2 linked regions of the Arabidopsis thaliana genome follow. The protein of the gene in region 2 interacts with the protein of the main gene of each other region in a pairwise test. Each region holds a gene or a part of one and is shown on either strand. Other genes may lie near its edges.

What was found. Proteins that work in one complex are often made in the same cells at the same time.
Region 1: the proteins of CESA1 (region 2) and CSI1 interact in a two-hybrid assay, tested with the Arabidopsis thaliana proteins (one study listed by BioGRID).

The regions. Positions count from the first base shown.
Region 1 is NC_003071.7:9,404,012-9,409,303, reverse strand, and holds the start of CSI1 (binding protein), read right to left. Parts: upstream 3,246-5,292; 5' UTR 2,954-3,245; intron 2,617-2,953; 5' UTR 2,512-2,616; coding exon 2,446-2,511; intron 2,125-2,445; coding exon 2,051-2,124; intron 1,832-2,050; coding exon 1-1,831.
Region 2 is NC_003075.7:15,640,679-15,648,686, reverse strand, and holds the start of CESA1 (cellulose synthase 1), read left to right. Parts: upstream 1-1,842; 5' UTR 1,843-2,298; coding exon 2,299-2,379; intron 2,380-2,906; coding exon 2,907-3,102; intron 3,103-3,200; coding exon 3,201-3,373; intron 3,374-3,596; coding exon 3,597-3,711; intron 3,712-3,826; coding exon 3,827-4,016; intron 4,017-4,183; coding exon 4,184-4,450; intron 4,451-4,785; coding exon 4,786-5,131; intron 5,132-5,209; coding exon 5,210-5,347; intron 5,348-5,428; coding exon 5,429-5,554; intron 5,555-5,705; coding exon 5,706-5,918; intron 5,919-6,024; coding exon 6,025-6,289; intron 6,290-6,376; coding exon 6,377-6,573; intron 6,574-6,657; coding exon 6,658-7,008; intron 7,009-7,090; coding exon 7,091-7,678; 3' UTR 7,679-8,008. Other genes in the region: AT4G32420 (Cyclophilin-like peptidyl-prolyl cis-trans isomerase family protein), read left to right, coding at 1-553, 640-708, 834-1,137. UniProt on the Arabidopsis thaliana protein: Catalytic subunit of cellulose synthase terminal complexes ('rosettes'), required for beta-1,4-glucan microfibril crystallization, a major mechanism of the cell wall formation. Involved in the primary cell wall formation.

The DNA.
Region 1 (5,292 bases), on a different chromosome or scaffold from region 2:
AGCATCATTGGAAGCACTGCCTTCACGTAGCATGTCATTGAATGGGACCACAGAAAGCATACTCTTCAATGCATCCAAAACGTAAATTTTAGACTCAGGTAGATCACTGGTCAGCAAAGCAGTAAGCTGACTGATAGTTGCAGTATCTGATTTATGAATCAAATGATTCAATGTCTTGGCGGCAATTTCTTTACCATTTGGACTACCATTCTTTAGTAGCCATAAGAGAGCAGGGACAGCATCCGCACTTTCAACACAAGCACGTATATCTTCGCTATGATTGCACAAGTTCCTAAGGATAGTTGCAGAGTCTTCCCTGGCTTTGGCCGACCCAGTCTCTAGAATTTGAACAAGTGGAGGTATACCTCCAGCAGCAGTGATGGCCCACTTGCTTTCATCATTTTCGTTAGACAAAAGGCAAAGAAGTGCAACAGCACATTCTTGCTGCTGTTCGGATGAAAGACCCAAAAGAGATATTAGCAATTGGATCCCTTCACGGCCCTGTAGTGCTTGCCACAGGCTACCTTCATGGTTACACAGCATCAGAAGAGCCTTTACAAGCTCATCTTGAACCTCATTCACCGCCATCGTTATTAGACCAACAAGCAAACGTTTTGCATCCGAGTTGGAAAGTTTGACAGAGAGTATGGAATTCCCATACAAACTTGCAAGTGCTTCAATTGTACGTTCTTGCACCAAGAATGGTAGACGAGGCTTAAACTGCTTCAGCAGAGTCTGTTCAACGACCAATGGATCTGATGCTCTTGTAGTTTCTGCCTTGCCATCATATATCATCAATGCTGAAGCTAAAGCCCCAAGGGTGTCGGCAGTCTGAGCAGGCGAAGAGCAAGATTCAAGGCTCTGACCAAGGCTTGATATGACATATGACAAACCACCGGAAATATTAGCAAGGGCACACATTGCATTTTCTTGTAATGCTTGCGCATATTCACCTTGCATGAATTCTTTAGATGGAGCTATTGTTGCATTTATTAAAACAGGAATACCATTAGAATTAGCGATTTCCCGCTTTGCTTCCTTAGATTGAGCAGAAAGCGACTTGAGAGCAGCAGCAGCCTCTGCCCTCACTGGGGCTTCATTACCCGATCCTAATAATTTGAGAAGCTGTTTTGTAATGTCTGCAGTCAATACACTGGAACAAACAGAGGCGTCTTCCATCATCATACACGCAAGAAGGAAGCAGACATTAGATAGTGTACTTGACTGCCCGCTTGTGAGCAGCTTCACAAGTACATCCACTCCCCCAGCTCGAATTGTCTCAGACCAAAATCCCTCTGTGGTACTAGAAAGGTTCTTAAGTGCACCAGTTAACAAACCATCAACCTCTCCTTTTTTATTTCCACTGCGCAATTGGTCCCACAGAACCGGTACAACTCCCTCAGTGGAAAATATTTTTGATCCAACATGGTCTTTAACCCCACCTTCAGAAACAGCATAGATTGTCTTTGCTGCAGCGATCTGCCCTTCGACTGAACTGGACTTGAGAAGACCAAGCAATGGAGGAATGCATCCCCCAAGTAACACCTTAACTCTAAGTTCGTTCTCCTTGCAGAGTGAACCCAAGACGGTTGCAGCTTGTATCTTCACTCCAACTGATCCCGATCGGAGAAGAGAGACAAGTACTGGCACAGCTTGGGAGTGTGATCCGACAGCACTGAATGCATTCTCACGCATTTCTATAAGGTCCAGTAACTGCTTCAGACAATATTCTCTTTCTTGTGCAGATGATGAACCTTGGCGCAGCTGCTCAATGCATTGGGCAACACTTGCTAATGTCCCATCTGGATCTTCCATGCTGGTTGTCCGGTCTCTGCAGGGGATGGGGAAAGTTAGATACTAATTCGCTAATAGGTGTGCCTTTCTGCTTAAAATGTCTCATTTGAAAGGATAACATAGGAAACCAATCCAGATAATATTAATTTCCACAGGCATTGTTAAACCAAGATGGTGGTGCAACAAATACAGATAAAACCTCAATTTTATCACGATGATTAGCTCCCATGCAGTACCAAATACATATATGCGTTACCTCAAACTCATCTTTGTGGTTGAATGTGGAGTTGGGGGCTCTGAATCATGCATCTTCATATCCCCATTTCTCTCCTGCAATCAAGACCAAACAACAGAAAATAAGTTAAAAGAGCAACAAGACCTTTTCGCTCCTATGCAATGGAAAAACTATAACCTTTATCATGACACTCTATCAGATATAACTGACTGGTACAAAGCCATTAATTAACAATGGACTTAGCTCAAGTACTTTTTTCAAATCAGATTCAAAATGCAAGGGACATATCAGCTTAATCATCCTGCTAATACACCAGATCTGACTTTGCAACTCAGAAAGATTGCAGTATATCAACTAAACAAGCTTTTCCATAAACCCGTGTGATGAATGTTAATACTGAATCAAGTAATTATTACCGTGTCACTTGGGGCAAGGCCATTTCCATTAGTGGAAGGAAATCTCCATCCAAGAGCACTTGTCATATCTTCACTTCACTTAAAAAATTCTCAAATCAAAAGTAGACCCAGAGACCTTGCCCCCTACCCAGATCTACTCAAATCAGATCGTCAGAACATCAACAACACCCCCTGCATAATATATAAAAAGGATCAATCTTTACAATAGAAAACGATACAGTGAAGTAGGAAAAGCTCAATGCAATTATATTATAATTGAAGACTAATAGTATAAAAATATCACTCTACCTAACTGAATTCTACTACTGCTAAATCTCGATCCGAATCGTTTAACATTCCAGATTCGAACTAAAGCTAAATGAGGAAACTTTTTAACCAATAGGAACTCAAAAAACAGGATTCTTCAGATCTAGATCATAATTGGATCTCTATCAATGAAATCAAACACAAGAGATCCGATAATTCAAAAAGCATGCATTTAGACATTGATAGATCAAATTGAACTCACCTCAATGCAACAAGGAGAAGAAGATGAACAATCTGTTACGTAGAAGAGAAGCGAATAAGACGAGAGAAAGGAGAGAGGAGTGAGAGAGAGGTTTCTTCTTCTTCTTCGTCTGTGATTTTGACTCAACAAAGTATAAAGCGGGGGAGAGAGAGAGGGAAGAGAGAGAGCTGTGTGTGTGCTGGTGAGAGAGAGTGATCAGATTGGAGCCGGCTTTGTCCACCGACAGACAGCGAGTGGATTCACTTAGCGACTCGAGCCGGCTTGAGTCGGTTGTCGAGCCGACAGAACTAAACGACTCTTGTACAGCGAATGGTATACTTAATTGTTTTTTATTACTTTCTTTAATCAAAAATAAATGAGGAAATTGACTTTTAGCTGTGAATTAATTATTTACATCAAACATTTTTTTTGTTAACAAAAATTATATAACTGTTTTTTTCCAGCAATTAGCCAATTAGTAAACATTTTGGTTCATTTGTTCAAGCAAAATTTTACATTTTATAAATTTGATTAACCTTTTTATCCAAAACATCCGTAGAATTGAAACAATATAAGAAAAAATATTATACCACAAAAATTACACACACGAATAAAAATATTGTCTAATTTATTTCTCAGATAATAACTTAATTAGTTAATTGTCTCTAAGTTTAGATTATGTTACCAAATTATCACTCATGGGGTTATCTCGATTTTTTAGTGCAACACAGTCATTACAAATATTTATTTAATATTTTTCAAAAGGATATCAAAAATAAATTGTCTATTTTATTGTGTCATTTAACATGTTGAAGTAAGTTATGTAATAATCAAAAGTTATCTCTTACAAGATCAATCGGATAAACAATCAAGAAAAAATAATAAAATATACTGATGAATTAATAAAAAGAATAATAGTAAGATCTGCAGTAGTTGTTGTTATTGGTCCTATTATGTTGATTTGTTACCAAACTTGATTAATTAGCCCATAACAATGGCGATAGTAAAGGTTTCTATCTACCACCAATTGTCATCCACAACATAATCATCACGAATTCTATATATATGGACAAAAAGTATAATAACTATTTTTACGGCTTCCTTCACATCTAAATTATTTTCCATAATTGTTCAAAAATCGCGACAGCAGTTCTTTTCGTCTGAAAGTGAGAGAAGTCGGGGGAGCAAATTATAAGGATGGTAAAACATATAACGTGGGAGAGAAAAAGCACATGGCCTCATGGCTCATGAGAATCAAAGATTCTAAGTTTTAACTATTCTTTTGTTTTTTCCTCGACGCATGTTTTGTTTCTATCGACAACTATGCCCATAAAAGCATATGATATGCACAATTATGATAATCATATGAATGCACATGTGCTCTTTCTTCCTAGCCAATTATGATCATTGACGATCATCACTATACCATAAAAATGACTGGACAAAGTCATATTCTTTGATGCTTCTTGTCACAACTTGATACATCCACTTTCCCGAACCGTATAAAACCCAAGAAGCAAAATTCTCATATAGATCTCATAGATTCGTTCGAAATATGTTAAATTTGCATCGGATATAGAAGGTGAAGGCTGCGTCTCCGGCCGGTGAACCGTCGTTTTACTGATCTTGTTTCTATTATGTTCCGATTTGGACCACTTTTTTGTAACCCGTGAAATTCTTAGCCCATCTGTCAATAGACCGTTTGGAAATGAATATCTAAAAAAAAAAAAAAAGATGTGAAGTCCATATTTAATCAGTGCCCGGCATTGGAACGTAGTAAGTTTGAGGAAGCATCAACTTGTAGCCGTGAAATTAATATTATGGTTTTTAGTGGTTTTAATTTAGCGTGTCATAAGTGAGAGTAAAAGAACTCTTTGATATTTCATTTTCATACATATATAATTTACTTCAATATAATGGTTTGATGAGGGTCTTATCATACATTTGATTTTTTCTTTTATTTTAGTGTTACATTTTAACTTAATTCTTACGTACATCTTTTCTTAATAGACTATTTTCTCATTATTATTTTTGGTTTCTCTCTCTCATTTTTTACATTTTGATTTTGTTTGCAAAGATTTGAAAGTCATCTTTGCCAAAAAAAAAAAAAACCAAAAAAAAAAGATTTGAAAGTCATCATCTAGTCCTCTTGATGAGTAGATTGTCATTGTTTTTTTTGCTAAATTGTAAATATTTCATAGATAATGAAAACAGTTTAGGTTGTAAACATAGAATCTGAGACCTATAGATATGGTAATGGATCCAAGACAAAAAGAAATAAAAACATATAGACACTCCTCCTCTCTCTCTTTTCTACAAATCATACAAGTTTCAATCATACGCAATACAATTTAGGTCAG
Region 2 (8,008 bases):
CTTCTAGAAGAAGCCTGAGCCGGAGTCCTATTCAATTATCTAGAAGAAGTCTGAGCCGGAGTCCCACTCGATTGTCTAGGAGAAGCCTAAGCCGGAGTCCCATTCGATCACCTAGGAAGAGTGTGAGCAGGAGTCCAGTCCGATCATCTAGGAAGAGTGTGAGCAGAAGTCCGGTTCGTTCATCCAGGAGACGTATCAGCAGGAGTCCAGTCCGATCATCTAGGAAGAGTGTGAGCAGGAGTCCTATTCGATTGTCCAGAAGAAGTATCAGCAGGAGTCCTATTCGATTGTCCAGGAGAAGTATCAGCAGGAGTCCTGTTAGAGGAAGAAGAAGAATTAGCAGAAGTCCAGTTCCGGCAAGGAGAAGGAGTGTGCGGCCTAGATCTCCTCCTCCTGACCGCAGAAGAAGTTTGTCAAGAAGTGCTTCTCCTAATGGGCGCATAAGGAGAGGGAGAGGATTTAGCCAAAGATTCTCATACGCCCGTCGATACAGAACTAGTCCATCTCCTGATCGATCTCCTTATCGCTTTAGTGATAGGAGTGACCGTGACAGGTGAATAGCCCACACATAATATAACTCCCCCTTTCTGTTACACACTCTCGTACTGAACCGTCTTTTTTATAACGTCTTCTCTGTAGATTTAGAAGTCGCAGAAGGTTCTCGCCAAGTCGGTTCAGAAGCCCACTAAGAGGAAGAACACCTCCAAGGTACTTATCCTCTTTAGTACATTGTTTCAGCTGATTCTTTACATCTAAAAGTTTCATGAATATGGAACTAAAATTGGTGATCCAAAAGAATTATTCTTGATTTCACAACTCGAAAGTATGCTCAGGTATAGAAGAAGAAGCCGCTCAGTATCGCCTGGTCTCTGTTATCGCAACCGGCGGTACAGCCGCAGCCCTATCCGTAGCCGATCTCCACCTTACAGAAAGAGAAGGTCACCATCCGCTAGCCACAGCCTGAGTCCATCGAGGTCAAGATCAAGATCAAAGTCATATTCAAAATCTCCCATTGGGACGGGGAAAGCAAGATCAGTGTCAAGATCACCATCCAAGGCAAGGTCTCCATCGAAGTCGGATTCGACATCCTCGGATAATAGCCCAGGTGGGAAAAAGGGATTAGTAGCCTATGATTAATGAATAATGATTACCCTTAAGTTAAGTGTTTGTTCTTTTTACTGAGAAGAGATGGTAAAGAGAGTAAGTAGTTTACTTCTGTAAAACATAAGCATTGTCTTTTGCGTATGTTTGTTTGATTATGCTCCAAGATTGTTAAAAATTTCTGTTGATGTTTGCCGACATTTTTTCTTTGTTGCCATTTGCCGACAAATGTTAACTTCCATTATTCGTTGCGGAGTTGGTTTTGGTCCAATAATTAAACTTTCATAAAATTAAGCATAACTAAATGTGACGTTTGTCACCAAACTTTAGAACAACGACATCGTAATTTATTTATTTGGATAATCAATATAATTTACGATTTCTTCCTACATATATATCATATCACTATACCACCGTCATTATCACTATCACTAAATATAAAAATGTTAAAATGATTTCTTAATGGAATTTTTTTTGTTAAAAGTTTATTGACACAAAAAATGAATTAAAACTCAGAAATCTGTATACTGAATTAAAACTTGTAAATATAACAACAAAATGGGATTAAAAAAAGAAGTGGCATCCATTTAAAAATTATTTGCGAATTCGCCCGTAACTTCTTAAGCTAACAATTAGAACCTAATCAACACTAGTTATTTTGAGTCCACCGACAGGTGATAGCAAATAAAAAAGAACAGGCTGGTACCAGAGCCAACAACAACGTGGCTTCTTCTTTTTTTTTTTTAATATAATCAAACAATCATACTTTGTCCTATCTCTTTCTTGCAATAAGATTTTGCCACGTCACATACTAAGAAGCTGGCGCGTCTAGTGGGGAAGCCAGAACGGCTCACTTTAAAAAGTAGAGAGATGATAACTTGAGCCGAATAGAGCCGAGCTGAGCTAAAACGGTGGGAGAGGAAGAGGCTACTACTACCGTCACCATCTCCGGTAAAATAATGTACTTGTCATTTAAAAATTAAGAAAAAACACATCACTCTGCGATAAAATAGGCAAAAGCAGATTTGAAGAAGAAGCAGCTTGAGATATCAAATAGAGAGAGAGAGTGACAGAGGAGTGTGTGAACATCCTTTTTTAGTAGATTTGGGTTTTCGAGATGCCGTATTGAATCGGCTACGAATTTCCCAATTTTGAATTTTGTGAATCTCTCTCTTTCTCTGTGTGTCGGTGGCTGCGATGGAGGCCAGTGCCGGCTTGGTTGCTGGATCCTACCGGAGAAACGAGCTCGTTCGGATCCGACATGAATCTGATGGCGGGGTCTGTTCATCTTCCCTTTTTCCCATTTTTTTGTTATTGTTTTTCGTTCTTACAATTTTTGATGTGTAGATCTCATCTAGATTTCTCTGTTTCTAAATCTCGTCTCTTTTGGATCCATAATTGGATCATTGAAACTCAGATTTCGCTTCCTTTGACTGTGTAGTTAGTTAGTGTCAGTTGATCAAGTAAGTGTCTGAAAATGGAAACTTTTCTGCTCCAATTCTTCAAATTGTTGTGATCTATATCAATTAATGCCGCATCTGTTTTCTTAAAATCTCTTATGGAAAGTGTCGGTGGATTTCAGTTCGTTAACTTTTTTAAGCTAAAATCTTTGACTCTTAAAGTTTAGCTTTACTTATTGAGATTTAGCTCAACTAGATCTCGTTAGTTCCCGCCATGGGATACAGACTGTGACTCGCCTTAATTCAGATCTGCATTGATTGTTTTGATTTAGATCCTTGCTCATCTCTTTCTGTAGTTTCTAATACTCAATGACTAACAATGATGCAATGTTGGTCAAAGTGCAGACCAAACCTTTGAAGAATATGAATGGCCAGATATGTCAGATCTGTGGTGATGATGTTGGACTCGCTGAAACTGGAGATGTCTTTGTCGCGTGTAATGAATGTGCCTTCCCTGTGTGTCGGCCTTGCTATGAGTACGAGAGGAAAGATGGAACTCAGTGTTGCCCTCAATGCAAGACTAGATTCAGACGACACAGGGGTCAGTTGTCTTTTTCTTTTTGTTGGCAATTGCTATATATGGATTTTCTCTTTTTGTTTCTTTGCTGTTGTGTTGAACAATTTTTTGGAATTTTCCAGGGAGTCCTCGTGTTGAAGGAGATGAAGATGAGGATGATGTTGATGATATCGAGAATGAGTTCAATTACGCCCAGGGAGCTAACAAGGCGAGACACCAACGCCATGGCGAAGAGTTTTCTTCTTCCTCTAGACATGAATCTCAACCAATTCCTCTTCTCACCCATGGCCATACGGTAGGGACCTACATTTTCCCTTTAGACTCTAGAGTGATTTGTATTACTCAATAAATCCCTAGAGTGGTCATTTATTACTTACTATTCACGTTAATGTTATATGTGAACAAATCTTAACAGAATTTTTTTCTGATAGTACATGGTCATCCAAATTAAGAAATAATAATAGATGTTGTTAGTTGTGTCTGTTTTCAATAGATTCATGACCTTTTTCTATACACAGGTTTCTGGAGAGATTCGCACGCCTGATACACAATCTGTGCGAACTACATCAGGTCCTTTGGGTCCTTCTGACAGGAATGCTATTTCATCTCCATATATTGATCCACGGCAACCTGGTATTCATATGTTTTTCCCTTGTGCACGTGGTCTTTGTTAAATGTGATTCCTATTCATTTTTACAACATATATATTTTGTGTACCGTAACTGATAGCTCCCGCTAAAAATTGCAGTCCCTGTAAGAATCGTGGACCCGTCAAAAGACTTGAACTCTTATGGGCTTGGTAATGTTGACTGGAAAGAAAGAGTTGAAGGCTGGAAGCTGAAGCAGGAGAAAAATATGTTACAGATGACTGGTAAATACCATGAAGGGAAAGGAGGAGAAATTGAAGGGACTGGTTCCAATGGCGAAGAACTCCAAATGTAAGTGGAAATACTAGACCAATATCTTTATTGTCCAACTCAAACAGCTCTTGGCCGTGATGCTAATAACCACTCTTGGTTTCTTATTATGTATTGATAGACATAATTAAGTATCTGCTTTGTTACATTTGTTTCCTTCCACTCAATTATGGTTCTCGTACTTACAGGGCTGATGATACACGTCTTCCTATGAGTCGTGTGGTGCCTATCCCATCTTCTCGCCTAACCCCTTATCGGGTTGTGATTATTCTCCGGCTTATCATCTTGTGTTTCTTCTTGCAATATCGTACAACTCACCCTGTGAAAAATGCATATCCTTTGTGGTTGACCTCGGTTATCTGTGAGATCTGGTTTGCATTTTCTTGGCTTCTTGATCAGTTTCCCAAATGGTACCCCATTAACAGGGAGACTTATCTTGACCGTCTCGCTATAAGGTTGGTCTTTAAGTTTATACATCCCCTACTCTCATCTCTCTTTTATGTATTAACTTGATATCTTCTATCACAGTTTTCGATAGTTGACTTTTTCCCCCTGTAAATTTAATTTAAATTTAGACAATGGTGCATCTGAATTTTGATTATGATATATCTTAAGAAGATTATGATTGTAAATCTTGAAATTTAGTAGAAAACCATCTGCAATCTACTGACCATGTGAAGTTTCCGACTAGACTATGATAGAAGCATGCCAAGTGGAGTGTTTATTAAGATAGAGCTTAGCTATTATACTGATTTTATATGTGTTTTGATTTTTTGGTTTCTTATTGTAGATATGATCGAGACGGTGAACCATCACAGCTCGTTCCTGTTGATGTGTTTGTTAGTACAGTGGACCCATTGAAAGAGCCTCCCCTTGTTACAGCAAACACAGTTCTCTCGATTCTTTCTGTGGACTACCCGGTAGATAAAGTAGCCTGTTATGTTTCAGATGATGGTTCAGCTATGCTTACCTTTGAATCCCTTTCTGAAACCGCTGAGTTTGCAAAGAAATGGGTACCATTTTGCAAGAAATTCAACATTGAACCTAGGGCCCCTGAATTCTATTTTGCCCAGAAGATAGATTACTTGAAGGACAAGATCCAACCGTCTTTTGTTAAAGAGCGACGAGCTATGAAGGTCATTTGAAAAGTCCACCTGCTTCTCATCCATACGGCAAAGAGATTGACTGACTTTTTCTTTGGTTTGTATTGACAGAGAGAGTATGAAGAGTTTAAAGTGAGGATAAATGCTCTTGTTGCCAAAGCACAGAAAATCCCTGAAGAAGGCTGGACAATGCAGGATGGTACTCCCTGGCCTGGTAACAACACTAGAGATCATCCTGGAATGATACAGGTACAGTGTGGCAATCCCTTGATTGTGACAGAGAGGATAACGTAAAGGAAACATGTTTACATCGTTTTGTTTCAATTTCAGGTGTTCTTAGGCCATAGTGGGGGTCTGGATACCGATGGAAATGAGCTGCCTAGACTCATCTATGTTTCTCGTGAAAAGCGGCCTGGATTTCAACACCACAAAAAGGCTGGAGCTATGAATGCATTGGTTTGTTAACTTTCAGAATCCTATTGTGTCCTCTATTTTATTCTCTTGTTCACTGCCTAAGAAACGTTCTTCTTGTGTAGCCGTTGCTTCACATTCTTTTTTTTCTAGGCTATGTGTTCTCTCCTAATTTAGTATCTCTTTACTTTGACAGATCCGTGTATCTGCTGTTCTTACCAATGGAGCATATCTTTTGAACGTGGATTGTGATCATTACTTTAATAACAGTAAGGCTATTAAAGAAGCTATGTGTTTCATGATGGACCCGGCTATTGGAAAGAAGTGCTGCTATGTCCAGTTCCCTCAACGTTTTGACGGTATTGATTTGCACGATCGATATGCCAACAGGAATATAGTCTTTTTCGATGTGAGTATCACTTCCCCATTGTCTTTTGTTTCTCTTTTGTTCATATTTTGGTTGGATTTACTCGTTTCTGCTATGGCCTGACTTGGATATTTGTTCTCTTGGGCAGATTAACATGAAGGGGTTGGATGGTATCCAGGGTCCAGTATATGTGGGTACTGGTTGTTGTTTTAATAGGCAGGCTCTATATGGGTATGATCCTGTTTTGACGGAAGAAGATTTAGAACCAAATATTATTGTCAAGAGCTGTTGCGGGTCAAGGAAGAAAGGTAAAAGTAGCAAGAAGTATAACTACGAAAAGAGGAGAGGCATCAACAGAAGTGACTCCAATGCTCCACTTTTCAATATGGAGGACATCGATGAGGGTTTTGAAGGTTTGATTGAGCTGATTGTGTAATAACATCACTTCTTTATGTAATGATTTATGTGATGGTGAAATCTTACAATCCTTGTTTATGCAGGTTATGATGATGAGAGGTCTATTCTAATGTCCCAGAGGAGTGTAGAGAAGCGTTTTGGTCAGTCGCCGGTATTTATTGCGGCAACCTTCATGGAACAAGGCGGCATTCCACCAACAACCAATCCCGCTACTCTTCTGAAGGAGGCTATTCATGTTATAAGCTGTGGTTACGAAGACAAGACTGAATGGGGCAAAGAGGTCAGTTTTCAAATGCAGCTACAGAATCTTCTTATGTTCTCTTTCTTACCTGTTTGATGACATCTTATTTGGCACTTTTGTTAGATTGGTTGGATCTATGGTTCCGTGACGGAAGATATTCTTACTGGGTTCAAGATGCATGCCCGGGGTTGGATATCGATCTACTGCAATCCTCCACGCCCTGCGTTCAAGGGATCTGCACCAATCAATCTTTCTGATCGTTTGAACCAAGTTCTTCGATGGGCTTTGGGATCTATCGAGATTCTTCTTAGCAGACATTGTCCTATCTGGTATGGTTACCATGGAAGGTTGAGACTTTTGGAGAGGATCGCTTATATCAACACCATCGTCTATCCTATTACATCCATCCCTCTTATTGCGTATTGTATTCTTCCCGCTTTTTGTCTCATCACCGACAGATTCATCATACCCGAGGTTTGTAAAACTGACCACACTGCTATTTACTATTTGAATCCCATTTTGTGAATGCATTTTTTTGTCATCATCATTGTTGCAGATAAGCAACTACGCGAGTATTTGGTTCATTCTACTCTTCATCTCAATTGCTGTGACTGGAATCCTGGAGCTGAGATGGAGCGGTGTGAGCATTGAGGATTGGTGGAGGAACGAGCAGTTCTGGGTCATTGGTGGCACATCCGCCCATCTTTTTGCTGTCTTCCAAGGTCTACTTAAGGTTCTTGCTGGTATCGACACCAACTTCACCGTTACATCTAAAGCCACAGACGAAGATGGGGATTTTGCAGAACTCTACATCTTCAAATGGACAGCTCTTCTCATTCCACCAACCACCGTCCTACTTGTGAACCTCATAGGCATTGTGGCTGGTGTCTCTTATGCTGTAAACAGTGGCTACCAGTCGTGGGGTCCGCTTTTCGGGAAGCTCTTCTTCGCCTTATGGGTTATTGCCCATCTCTACCCTTTCTTGAAAGGTCTGTTGGGAAGACAAAACCGAACACCAACCATCGTCATTGTCTGGTCTGTTCTTCTCGCCTCCATCTTCTCGTTGCTTTGGGTCAGGATCAATCCCTTTGTGGACGCCAATCCCAATGCCAACAACTTCAATGGCAAAGGAGGTGTCTTTTAGACCCTATTTATATACTTGTGTGTGCATATATCAAAAACGCGCAATGGGAATTCCAAATCATCTAAACCCATCAAACCCCAGTGAACCGGGCAGTTAAGGTGATTCCATGTCCAAGATTAGCTTTCTCCGAGTAGCCAGAGAAGGTGAAATTGTTCGTAACACTATTGTAATGATTTTCCAGTGGGGAAGAAGATGTGGACCCAAATGATACATAGTCTACAAAAAGAATTTGTTATTCTTTCTTATATTTATTTTATTTAAAGCTTGTTAGACTCACACTTATGTAATGTTGGAACTTGTTGTCCTAAAAAGGGATTGGAGTTTTCTTTT